2 linked regions of the Macaca fascicularis genome follow. The protein of the gene in region 2 interacts with the protein of the main gene of each other region in a biochemical or structural test. Links are inferred from orthologs where the notes say so. Each region holds a gene or a part of one and is shown on either strand. Other genes may lie near its edges.

Region 1 (4,924 bases), on a different chromosome or scaffold from region 2:
GCCAGATTCAGAGTTGAAGGCAGGAGACACCTGGCTTGCTAATTTTTATTTCCTCCTCTCCCCACTTCCCTCCAGTTCGGCCTCCCTCCCTCTTTCCTTCTTTCTATAATCAGTTGTTCTGAACCATGATATGCCAGACACTGTACTGGGCTATGGAGAAAACAACAGGTAAGATCTTTGCTCTTATTTAGCTTCACACAAGGCAGAAGCTATATTACATAGTGGTTAAAGCCAAATAGATCGCATGGATTGCTTGTCTCAGCCCAGCCACTTACTAGGTGTACCAGCTGAATAAGCTATGAAACTTTCTGGGCCTAAATTATTTGTTCTGTAAATATGGATATGGACAGATCTACCTCACAGGGTTGTTACGTGCTATCAGACAGTAGTAGCACAGTGCCTGGAATATGGTGAGCATTACAGAGTTGTCATTATAGTCGTTATGTACTACAGTTACTTTATACTCTTAGGAGTGAGTGGATTGGTTTGTCCAAGGTGTAGTAGAAACTGCAGCTCAAACTCTTCTCTCAAATGATGGAAACCAATTCATTGACAAAGATAGTCTTCAGAGAAGGATCATCCTCCCCTCCTAACATGAAGAAAAATCCTTCATTACCTGTTTTTATTCATTAAGGATCACTATTAATGAACAAAAAACGGGCTGAATACAGGTTCCTGAGAAAAGACACTCTTCTCAAATTTGCCTTTTAGCAGATCTTACCAACATCTCTTACAACTGCGGAGTTCCTTTCAAGTTATTTGGGATATATGTTTCTTCCATCAAGAGGAGAAAAAAAAAGGGGGGCACTAAAAGGCAAATGGGATACAAGAAAAGATTAACCTGGATGACTGCCTATATGAGAACTTCTTGAGAACAGAATTCCAGCCTCATTCATCTTGGTAACCCTGGTAGGGTGTCTAGACTGATTATAGGAGCTCAAATATAGCCTGTCTAAATTCTAGGTGTTTACCACACACTTTATTCTTCCCAATAGCATTTCAAAGTGGGTACCACCAATCTCATTTTATAGATAAGAAAAAGGTAAAGCCCTGATTGTTAAACAACTACTCAACCTTACAAAAGTGCAGAACCAATCTGTTCTAAAGTTAATTCCCTTTTTCCATGTGAATGTCTCAAAAATGTTTGGTGAATGAATACAGAATTAAAATCAAATTCTGGAGATGCCTTTTATTTCAGATCCATGATCCAGGAATATGACTCTAGACAAGGGAGGTTTCTTTAGGTAATGTTTCTCTCCTTCCCTTTAAAAGAGCTCAAAGCCAAAAATATAAGCCAGACATTATCAAAGAGCAAATGAATGTCTAGAAATAAACTGAGCATTTATAGAAGGATACACTAATTTGAACTTTGGGAAACAGGTGTTAAAATTTCAGATCACTTAATATTAAAACATGCCTTGGGGGAAAAAATGTAATATGTAACTGCAAACTGTTGATGTATTTACAAAAAATAGTTTCTGACTTTGTAAGTTGTTACACAATACACTGAGTTTCTTATGGTTATAATCTTTCCTTTCCACTGAGATCATTCAGTCCCTCACTTGGATTGCTTTAAATGTAATGTGCTCAGTTAGAAGTAGAAGCTGGAGTTAGGATTGCTTCACCGGGGCTAAATATTAGTCACTTTGCTCAACCCTCATTTGCCCTCTCCAGTCCCCACCCAACTCTCATTTTTCAGCCACACTCCACCAAATGCATACTTAGTGCTTGTGGTTCCAGTGACACAACACATTCAAGCTAACCTGTCTGTGGAAAGTTGGCAACCCTCTGAGTTCAGACTGGGGTTAGCCATGAAGCATGGGGTGACAGGAAATGGCATCCAGTAGTCACTCCTTCCTCTGGTCCAGTCTTTTTCACATCACCTTCATCACTGCCCGCTATTTTATTCTTCTGCTGTGTCTCCTTTGGGACCCAAGAGGGAAGAAGGACATGAAATAACAGCTGTCCTAATGCCACTAACCAGCCCTAACGCAACGCAGCCTAGTCCTACTTATTTCTCCGGGAAAGGCAATCAAAAAACAATTATAGAGAAACCACTCCTCATTTCCTCTTCTATGTCTCTCGTGTGTGTGAGTGTGAGTGTGTGTAAAATTTTAATTTCCCTGGAATTGGAACTACAAAAGTCCCTCCTCAGCCCTACCGGGAAAGTGGTATTGGGCACGACCGCCCTTTCCAAGGCAGTCTGCAATCGTTTTCGCGGAAGTAGAGGAGAAAAGCGGGTAGAGAAGGGAGCTGCCATGCAGCATCCGTTGGGAAAACAGTTCGCACGTGAGCGGGCTCGCACGTGAGCGGGCTCGCAGCCTGTGGCGCCACCTGACCGGGCCTAGTGCCCCCAGTGTGGTGCAGTAGCTCAGGAAGCCCAGCAGGCACAGGCCCTCCTGAACCCTTGCCAAGTCAGCGCTCCCTTTCTGCCTGGGCTCAGGCCTCGCCCGCATACACTTTTCCATCTGCTTCCACCCCTGCCATCCTTCCTGGGGACCAAAAATGAAGAAAGACAACCCCCACGCCCCAATCCCCCGGTATTTCGTCTTCCCCTCGCAGCCTCTTCCTGTCCTGATCATCTGCTCAAAGAGAAGACGTTCCCTACACACACCCTCACCACCCCCACCTCCACCTTGTGCAGCAATGAAGCCACGCTACCCTAGGGGGTTCGGGGGCCGGATGCTGGCAGGGCGCGCACTAGAGACACGCCGCACGCAAGCAGCCCTCCGAGTCTCGTGAGCCAGGGAGACTGGGGTGCACCGCGCCACGCTGAGTCTAGGTGTAAAAGCCTAGAGCGTGGGTACCTCCTGGCCGAAAGCACGCGGGGCGTTCCTTGCCCGGGACCCCGCACACCCCCAGCAGCTCCCGGGCCGCTGTCGGCGCTCACTGGCTGACGCGAGCTCTCCTCCCGCGGCCGCTTCGGGGTTTTTTGTCTATATAAGGGCTCGCTGGCCAACTCTGCGTTGGCACGTTTGTCACAGGCTGGCCATTATTTGCACACACGCGTGCGGCTCCGCGGGCAGCTCGGGTCGCAGACGCGGGCTTTCGCTCCTCTTCGCCTGCGCCGCCTCCTCGTCCTCCTCCTCCGCCCCCCTCCCTCCCCAGCTGTACTTACTTTATCTGGTCTCTGGCGCAGGGTGGGCGCTGCAGCTCTCTGTTCCCCGCAAGCCGCAGCCGGTTCGCCTTGCTGTCAACGGGTGAATGGAATTATTTATTTATTTATGGCCCCTGACGTGTCCTCGCCCGCCACAGCCAGCGGAAAAGGAGGCGGCGGCGGGAAGGGGAGGCGCGGCTGCTGAACGCCCGTGTGGGTGCGGAGGAGCGCGCGCCGGGGGTGGGGGCCGGACAGACTGCGGTGGAGGCCGGCCCGGGGGGTGGTGGGGGGGAGCCGCCTCCCGGTGCCTGGAGACCGACTGAGCATGCTCCAAGCGGCTGTCAAAGCTATAGGCAATTTCTCTATCGCTCGGGGCACTCCACTTCGGATTTTAGTTTTGACCAAGGAAGAAAGCCAAAAGGCAGGTAGATCTGTCGTTTCAGATGGGTCGTGACTTGCTGTATCCGAAGTACTCTGTAGCCTGACCTAGGAGTCAGGTGTGGGGTAGCTCTGTCTAGATATTCCAGAGAGTTGTGTAACCCATGCATGGGAGAGGAAAGCATGCAAAAAGAGAAGAGTCTGGCCGAATGCAGGGAGAATAGGAGATCCTCACTGTGAACTTGCAGTGAAAGTGTTGAGCCATTTTTCAACTGAGGCCTTTTTGGGAGAAGGAGGTAGTGCACTGTTGGAGATTAGACTCACTAACCAAATCACTTTACAGAAAAAAATAAAATTGACACCATAGGAGGAAGGGTATGGAAAACAGCACCAAAAGACATTAAAAATAAGGATTTTTTTTTTTTTTTCAAATCATTTATAAGTAATTCCTTTCATTTTTGGTTTCTCCAATTATTTAGTTCTTCAAACCAGCATTTAGTTATTTGACAACGAATAGTGCTAGAGATAATGGTAATTGTGCAGTCATTGGTTTGGTCTCTTCCTCTGTCTAAAATATGCTTCTTGGGAAAGTTGGAAAGAGGAAGGGCTGGAAGAGAACGTTTAACCTACCCCAAAGATTGAGTTTCTTTAATAACTTTAAGTTAAATTGCCACTTTAGAGAAAAAGAAACTATCCAAAAGAATAATTGTAGGTTTTGACTTGACAAGTCCTATTGCAGTTTGTCTACCAGTTTAACTAGCTTTCTCCTCCTTGATTTCACAATAATCCTTTTAAGATGTGTTCTATGATTCTTCACATTTTACAAATTTATAAAAAGATAGTTAAGTCATTTGGGTAAATTCACACTGTCTTTTGCCGCAGCTAGTCTGTTGTAATGGACAAAATTTGAATTTCAATTTCTGTAGCTATGAAATAAAAGTAATATCAATCTTGGGTTGATTTCATAAGATTTAAGTGAAATAATATACATGAAGTGGCTGGTAGGCATAATATAAGGTGAATAAATAATGGTGATTAATAACTTCAAAATTATTGGAAGATAATTTTATTGAAAGAATGATATTTGAAACTGAAAAAAAAGGCAGAAAATTACAGAAAGGATTTTATATTTTTAAGCTAAAAATGCTTAAATAGACGTTTGTGTAAGACATAATAGGCATTTTGATAATGATGGAATGTCTAGCAGTGACTCTAAATACTTCATTTAATTACAAAAAAGTTAAACATTTCAAAGAAACAACATGAAGGCACATTTCAAGGTCATATTCTTGAGTGTTTGCTATTGACATTTTTCCTGCTCATTCATCACTTTTATTTCCTGTCAAAGAAGAGGAAGAAGACCATATGCTTTCTGAATTTCGATCCTATTCTCCCTTTTCCTTCTCTTTGATTTTTCTTTTTTGTTGTTTTTTTTCTTATAGTCCCATG
Region 2 (4,839 bases):
AAATGGGTGAGTTAAAAATATAGGAAGAGGGAGAGCTACAAGCAGAAGCATCAATCCAGGGCACCTTCTCACCTGCAATGACTCCACCTTCTCAAGAAAACGTCCAAATGTTTTCATTTCATTCTTTGACCTGGTTGGGACTCCACTCTTTAGGGAGTCATCTGAGCTTTTAAGCCTCCTTGATTAAGTGTGAGTTATTCTAAAAGACTTAGAGAACTTTCAACGATGATACACATCAATGGGAATGTGTTCAATAAGATTTATTTCAACACCTTGCTGGGTTGGGGTTACTTCAGGAATTAACAGAACTGTGTGTTTTGTTTTGTCTTGTGTTTGGAGACAGGGTAGACCGCAGTGGGAAGGGTACATAATGGAGAATCACGAAATACCTTGAGCGGACCCTGAGACCTGCTTAGAGTTAGGGGAAAACTGGAGAGGTTCAAGGATAGAAGAACTCAGGGTTGTTCAGGTGTGACATGGGTTACGTGGGCATTTCTGGATTGCTCTGGGAAGGTAAACAACCATTATAATATTGTTACCCTGGAAAAATGCAACTTGAAATCCAAATAACTAACTTGCAAAGTAACTTTTGAAATATCACCCATTCCAACTGAATTCTTAAATGGGAGGCTTCTTATATGGGAACTCAGGAAGAAAGAGAGATCCCCAGGCAGCATTTGGTGTGGCACTGGGAAAACAAAGATAGGTCAAAAGCTTAAAGCATAGAATGAGTTACAGCTGGAAGAACATTTGTCCCTGGGGTCCGAGGCAGGCATGACCTGTTGAAAACCCCAGGCCAGCAAAGACACCTGTCCAGGGCTCCATAAAAAATATTTCCTGCATTTAAGGAGAGGAGGTTTAAGGCACTCGGGCTATGTTGAGTCTTCATTCTAGAATCTTGGGACAGCGTATTCCCTTTTAACTCCTGGGGAGTCCAGGGCCTTGGTCTGAGTTTAGCTTCCTCCTAGGAACCCGGGTGGAAAGGAGAGACAGGTAAGAACTCCGCAGAGTCAGGGAAGCCTGGGTTTGAGGAAGCAGAGGGAGGAGACCTGGATCTAGTTACAAAGGAGTTGTAAGACCCAGGGACAATTCTACGTGCTGGGTGTGAAAGGGGAGGGGGCTCAGGAGGACCGAGTGAGGGCACTGAGGCAGGACGCACGCACCCGGCGAAGGTGCGGTGTGGGCGCCCACGGAGTGGGGGAGCTGGGACGAAAGGGGGACTGCGGTGGGCTGGAGAGAAGCGGGACGGGGAAGGCGCTCGGGAAGCTGTCCCCTCGGCGTCGTGCGCTCCGGGGACGGAGGCGGGGAGGTCTGGGCGGGCGAGCGGCGTGTGACCGCCAAGGCTGGGGCGGCTGGAACAGGTGAGCGGCCGCTGGGTTGTGGGTCCCCGCCCTTCACCGCCAGCGTGCCTCCTCCCACGGACTCTCCCCAGCGCTGAGCTGCTCCGCGGCTCCCCTTGGTTTGGGGTTTTGCAACTGGCTGCTGGCTTTTTTCCCCTCCCCTGTCTCGGTCTCTCCTTCTTCTTTTAGGTTGCTCCACCCCGCCCAGGATCAGGAGAGGGGGAACCAGCCTGACTGCGGCTGCCAACTCCCGCCGAGTGCGTCTGCGAACTCCCGGAGCGGAGTCCCGCGTGCCGCCACCTCCTCACGGGGCGCACTCTCCTCGCTCCCCCGGGCCCCGCGTCCTCCCCCCGGCCACCCTTCCCCACTTTTCCCCCCTTTTCCAATCACATGGCATTTTAAGAATGCCGGAAAGATGGCGGTAGCGGCGGCGGCGGCGGCGGCGGCGGCGGCTGGGCCGGCAGGCGGGGGAGGCGGCCGGGCGCAGCGGAGCGGGCTGCTGGAAGTTTTGGTGCGGGATCGCTGGCACAAAGTTCTGGTGAACTTGAGCGAGGACGCCCTGGTTCTGAGCAGCGAGGAGGGCGCTGCGGCGTACAACGGCATTGGGACCGCCACCAATGGCTCGTTCTGCAGGGGCGCCGGGGCTGGGCACACGGGCGCGGGCGGCGCGCAGCCCCCGGACTCGCCCGCCGGGGTCCGCACCGCCTTCACCGACCTGCCGGAGCAGGTGCCCGAGTCCATCTCGAACCAAAAGCGCGGCGTGAAGGTGCTGAAGCAGGAGCTAGGCGGGTTGGGGATCAGCATCAAGGGGGGCAAGGAGAACAAGATGCCCATCCTCATCAGCAAGATCTTCAAGGGGCTGGCGGCGGACCAGACCCAAGCCCTGTACGTGGGCGACGCCATCCTGTCCGTGAACGGAGCCGACCTGCGGGACGCCACCCACGACGAGGCGGTGCAGGCGCTAAAGCGCGCGGGCAAGGAAGTGCTGCTGGAAGGTAAGGGGTTAACCGCGCGCGGGCAGCGCCGGGCGCGCACACACCTGCTCGGCTTCCCACCCGCACGCTCACACTCACACCACACTCGACCACGTGCCGACACACCCCAGGGGGCCGAATGTGTGTGTGTGGGTGGGGGAGAGGGCGGAGGAATTGGCAGCATAGAGTTTTGTCAACTTTTACCCACCCTGGGGGCAATTAGTCTCCAGTCCGCAGGGTTGGCTTTAACCCAGGAGGGGTGTATGGAAAAGCGAGGCTAGCAGGGTTTCCCAGCCGGATTGCTGCTTAGTATACGTTGTTTCATTTTTGTCTGCGAGTAATCCTAGTAGAGTGTAGGGATTGGGATATGGAATCGAGAATGAAGGGTGAACTTAGAATATTCCTACATCCAACGTTGCCAAGCAGGGCTACTGCGTAATTGCAACTCATAGTTTTCCGCTTTGGCAAAATTTCCCACTCTAAAGCCTGGGCAACCCAGCAGAAGAGGATTGACTCATAAAGGGGTGAGAGAGAGGTGGCAATATTGTGAATGCTAAAACTCCGACTATCCTTCTGGACGTTCCCCCTGCAAATGGGGGACTAGGGTTATGCCTGGAGAGTTGTGTCAGGGGCCGGGAAATTCGTTGCAGTTTTGGGGAAAATTCACTTTCCCTGCCGGGCATCTGGCCGGTCAGTCTGGATTCCAGGTTCCTCTGGGTGGAGAGCTGGTGAAGTGGTTTTTCTGGCTGCGTTTTCTGGAGCCCTTTCTGAGTGGTGTGGAAACAACTTTGCATTTGTAAACAGTTCCCCCTGCGTGTGAGGAGCCTAGAAACTACTCTCTGTCTCTCGAGATCTGATGTCCCCAGTCCCCTCATTATTGAATGTGAATAGAATAGGAACCACCTATTTACAGTTTTGCACTGTTCATGGCTATGTTGAGTTATGTCGGGGAGAAGGGCATATTGGTAGTAAACTGAATTCTCCTGTTTGGCTACAGCTGCATTTCTCACTTGTTTCTCTTCTCTTTAGTGCTGTGTACATACCTCTGTCAGCACTAATAACGTGTAATTATTTTATCTATTTACTCAGCCTAGCCTACCTATAGATTGCGGTATCTGGAGTCTTTTATTTAGCGGTGGATCTCTCTTGGAGCTTAGTTGCTCCATGTCATACATACTGAGTAAATGAATAAATGAACCTATAGCTATTGAAATAGACTATTTCATCTGAGACCATGTAATATGGTGATTGATTTAAGCCCTAAAGACGTAAGTCAATTTCCTGCTTACTTAGTCGTGGCACTGGTGTGTGAAACTGAGAAAGTTTAAAGCAAGGGTGCCAGCATCACTAGTGTGTGACAGCTGATGCAACTCCCTGGTATGTCATGGCCCACCTCCTGGCCCACAATACAGAGAAGTTCTCCCCCACCAACCTTGTTTGTCTAGAGGATTTGCGATGTCTTCATAGTCAATTACCACCCTGGACCCAGACAGTGGAAAGCTATTTGCTTTGGCTTGATGATTAACATAACAGGAAAAAAAAGTTTTCTTGACTCCAGTGTGTGTTGGTTTGTGTGACAAGGGTCAGGTGGGATCTGGGGCAAGTGTTATTTGGAATATAAACTGTTGGGCACCTGCTCAGTTTGCAATACTTACTGTAAATACCGGGGTAGGGGTTGGGGGTGGGGCGGAAGGCGGGTCATTTTATTTTAGGTACTATCCTTTATTATGTCCCTACTTTTCTTCCTCTGCTTGCTTTCAATTTAACGAATAATTACTTGGCAAAGAGGTAAAAAATATCTCTCACCCAAAAAGAGGAAGAAATTTCTCTGCAATTGAAAATAAACTTAGAGAAAGAAAAAAAATCAAGCAATTATGTGACTTTCAGTTTCTTGAAACAGAAACTGAAAAGTGAGTTTGGTAAAAACCTCTAACATGACATTCTTAGAACACTTTGTCATTTGTCATAGGCAGGACCTCTGGAGAAACACTGTGGGTCTCCTAGATATGAACATTTTTGGCTCAGTGTAGCAGCCTTATCCTCAGCCCAAGTTTTTCAAAATCAGCTGCTGTTAAGGGAAGCGGAGGCCCTCCTCAGAACAGTGTCTCTTATTCTGAGCCAAAGTGTTCGTTCTCAATGCAATGGTAGTCATCAAATACCATCAAGTCAAATATCACAATCCTCTCTTTTGTAGCTTAGCCTAATACTGGGATTCCCAGTTGAAGGGGCTTATTAGGACCACTTCAAGGGCTTTTTAAAAAGACATACCTACTTCTTCATATTCTAACATGCAGTGTGGATTCCAGAGTTTCTACATAGGAGAGGTTTTGAAGATGTAATCTGGTTACATGACAGGGCAAAGGGAAATGTTTTGAAGGTACATTTGTATAGCAAGTACACCCTTTTTTCCGGCTAGATTCCTTTTTGTTTGTTTATTGGGGGAGTAAATGGAGATTAGTTTAGTACTCCAACCACCGCCCACACGCACCCCACTGCATGACATGCGCCCCCTGGTGGAGAGCTAC

What was found. The genes of interacting proteins can lie anywhere in the genome.
Region 1: the proteins of SNTB1 (region 2) and SLC16A7 interact in a test that uses a peptide from one of them, tested with the Homo sapiens proteins (2 studies listed by IntAct, with this or other methods). The link is inferred for Macaca fascicularis from reciprocal best matches to the Homo sapiens genes SNTB1 and SLC16A7.

What each region holds. Positions count from the first base shown.
Region 1 is NC_088385.1:66,480,336-66,485,259, reverse strand, and holds the start of SLC16A7 (monocarboxylate transporter 2), read right to left. Parts: upstream 3,358-4,924; 5' UTR 3,119-3,357; exon of another isoform or gene 2,808-3,118; intron 1,924-2,807; exon of another isoform or gene 1,764-1,923; intron 1-1,763. UniProt on the Homo sapiens protein: Proton-coupled monocarboxylate symporter. Catalyzes the rapid transport across the plasma membrane of monocarboxylates such as L-lactate, pyruvate and ketone bodies, acetoacetate, beta-hydroxybutyrate and acetate.
Region 2 is NC_088382.1:130,428,403-130,433,241, reverse strand, and holds the start of SNTB1 (beta-1-syntrophin), read left to right. Parts: upstream 1-1,552; 5' UTR 1,553-1,755; coding exon 1,756-2,335; intron 2,336-4,839. UniProt on the Homo sapiens protein: Adapter protein that binds to and probably organizes the subcellular localization of a variety of membrane proteins. May link various receptors to the actin cytoskeleton and the dystrophin glycoprotein complex.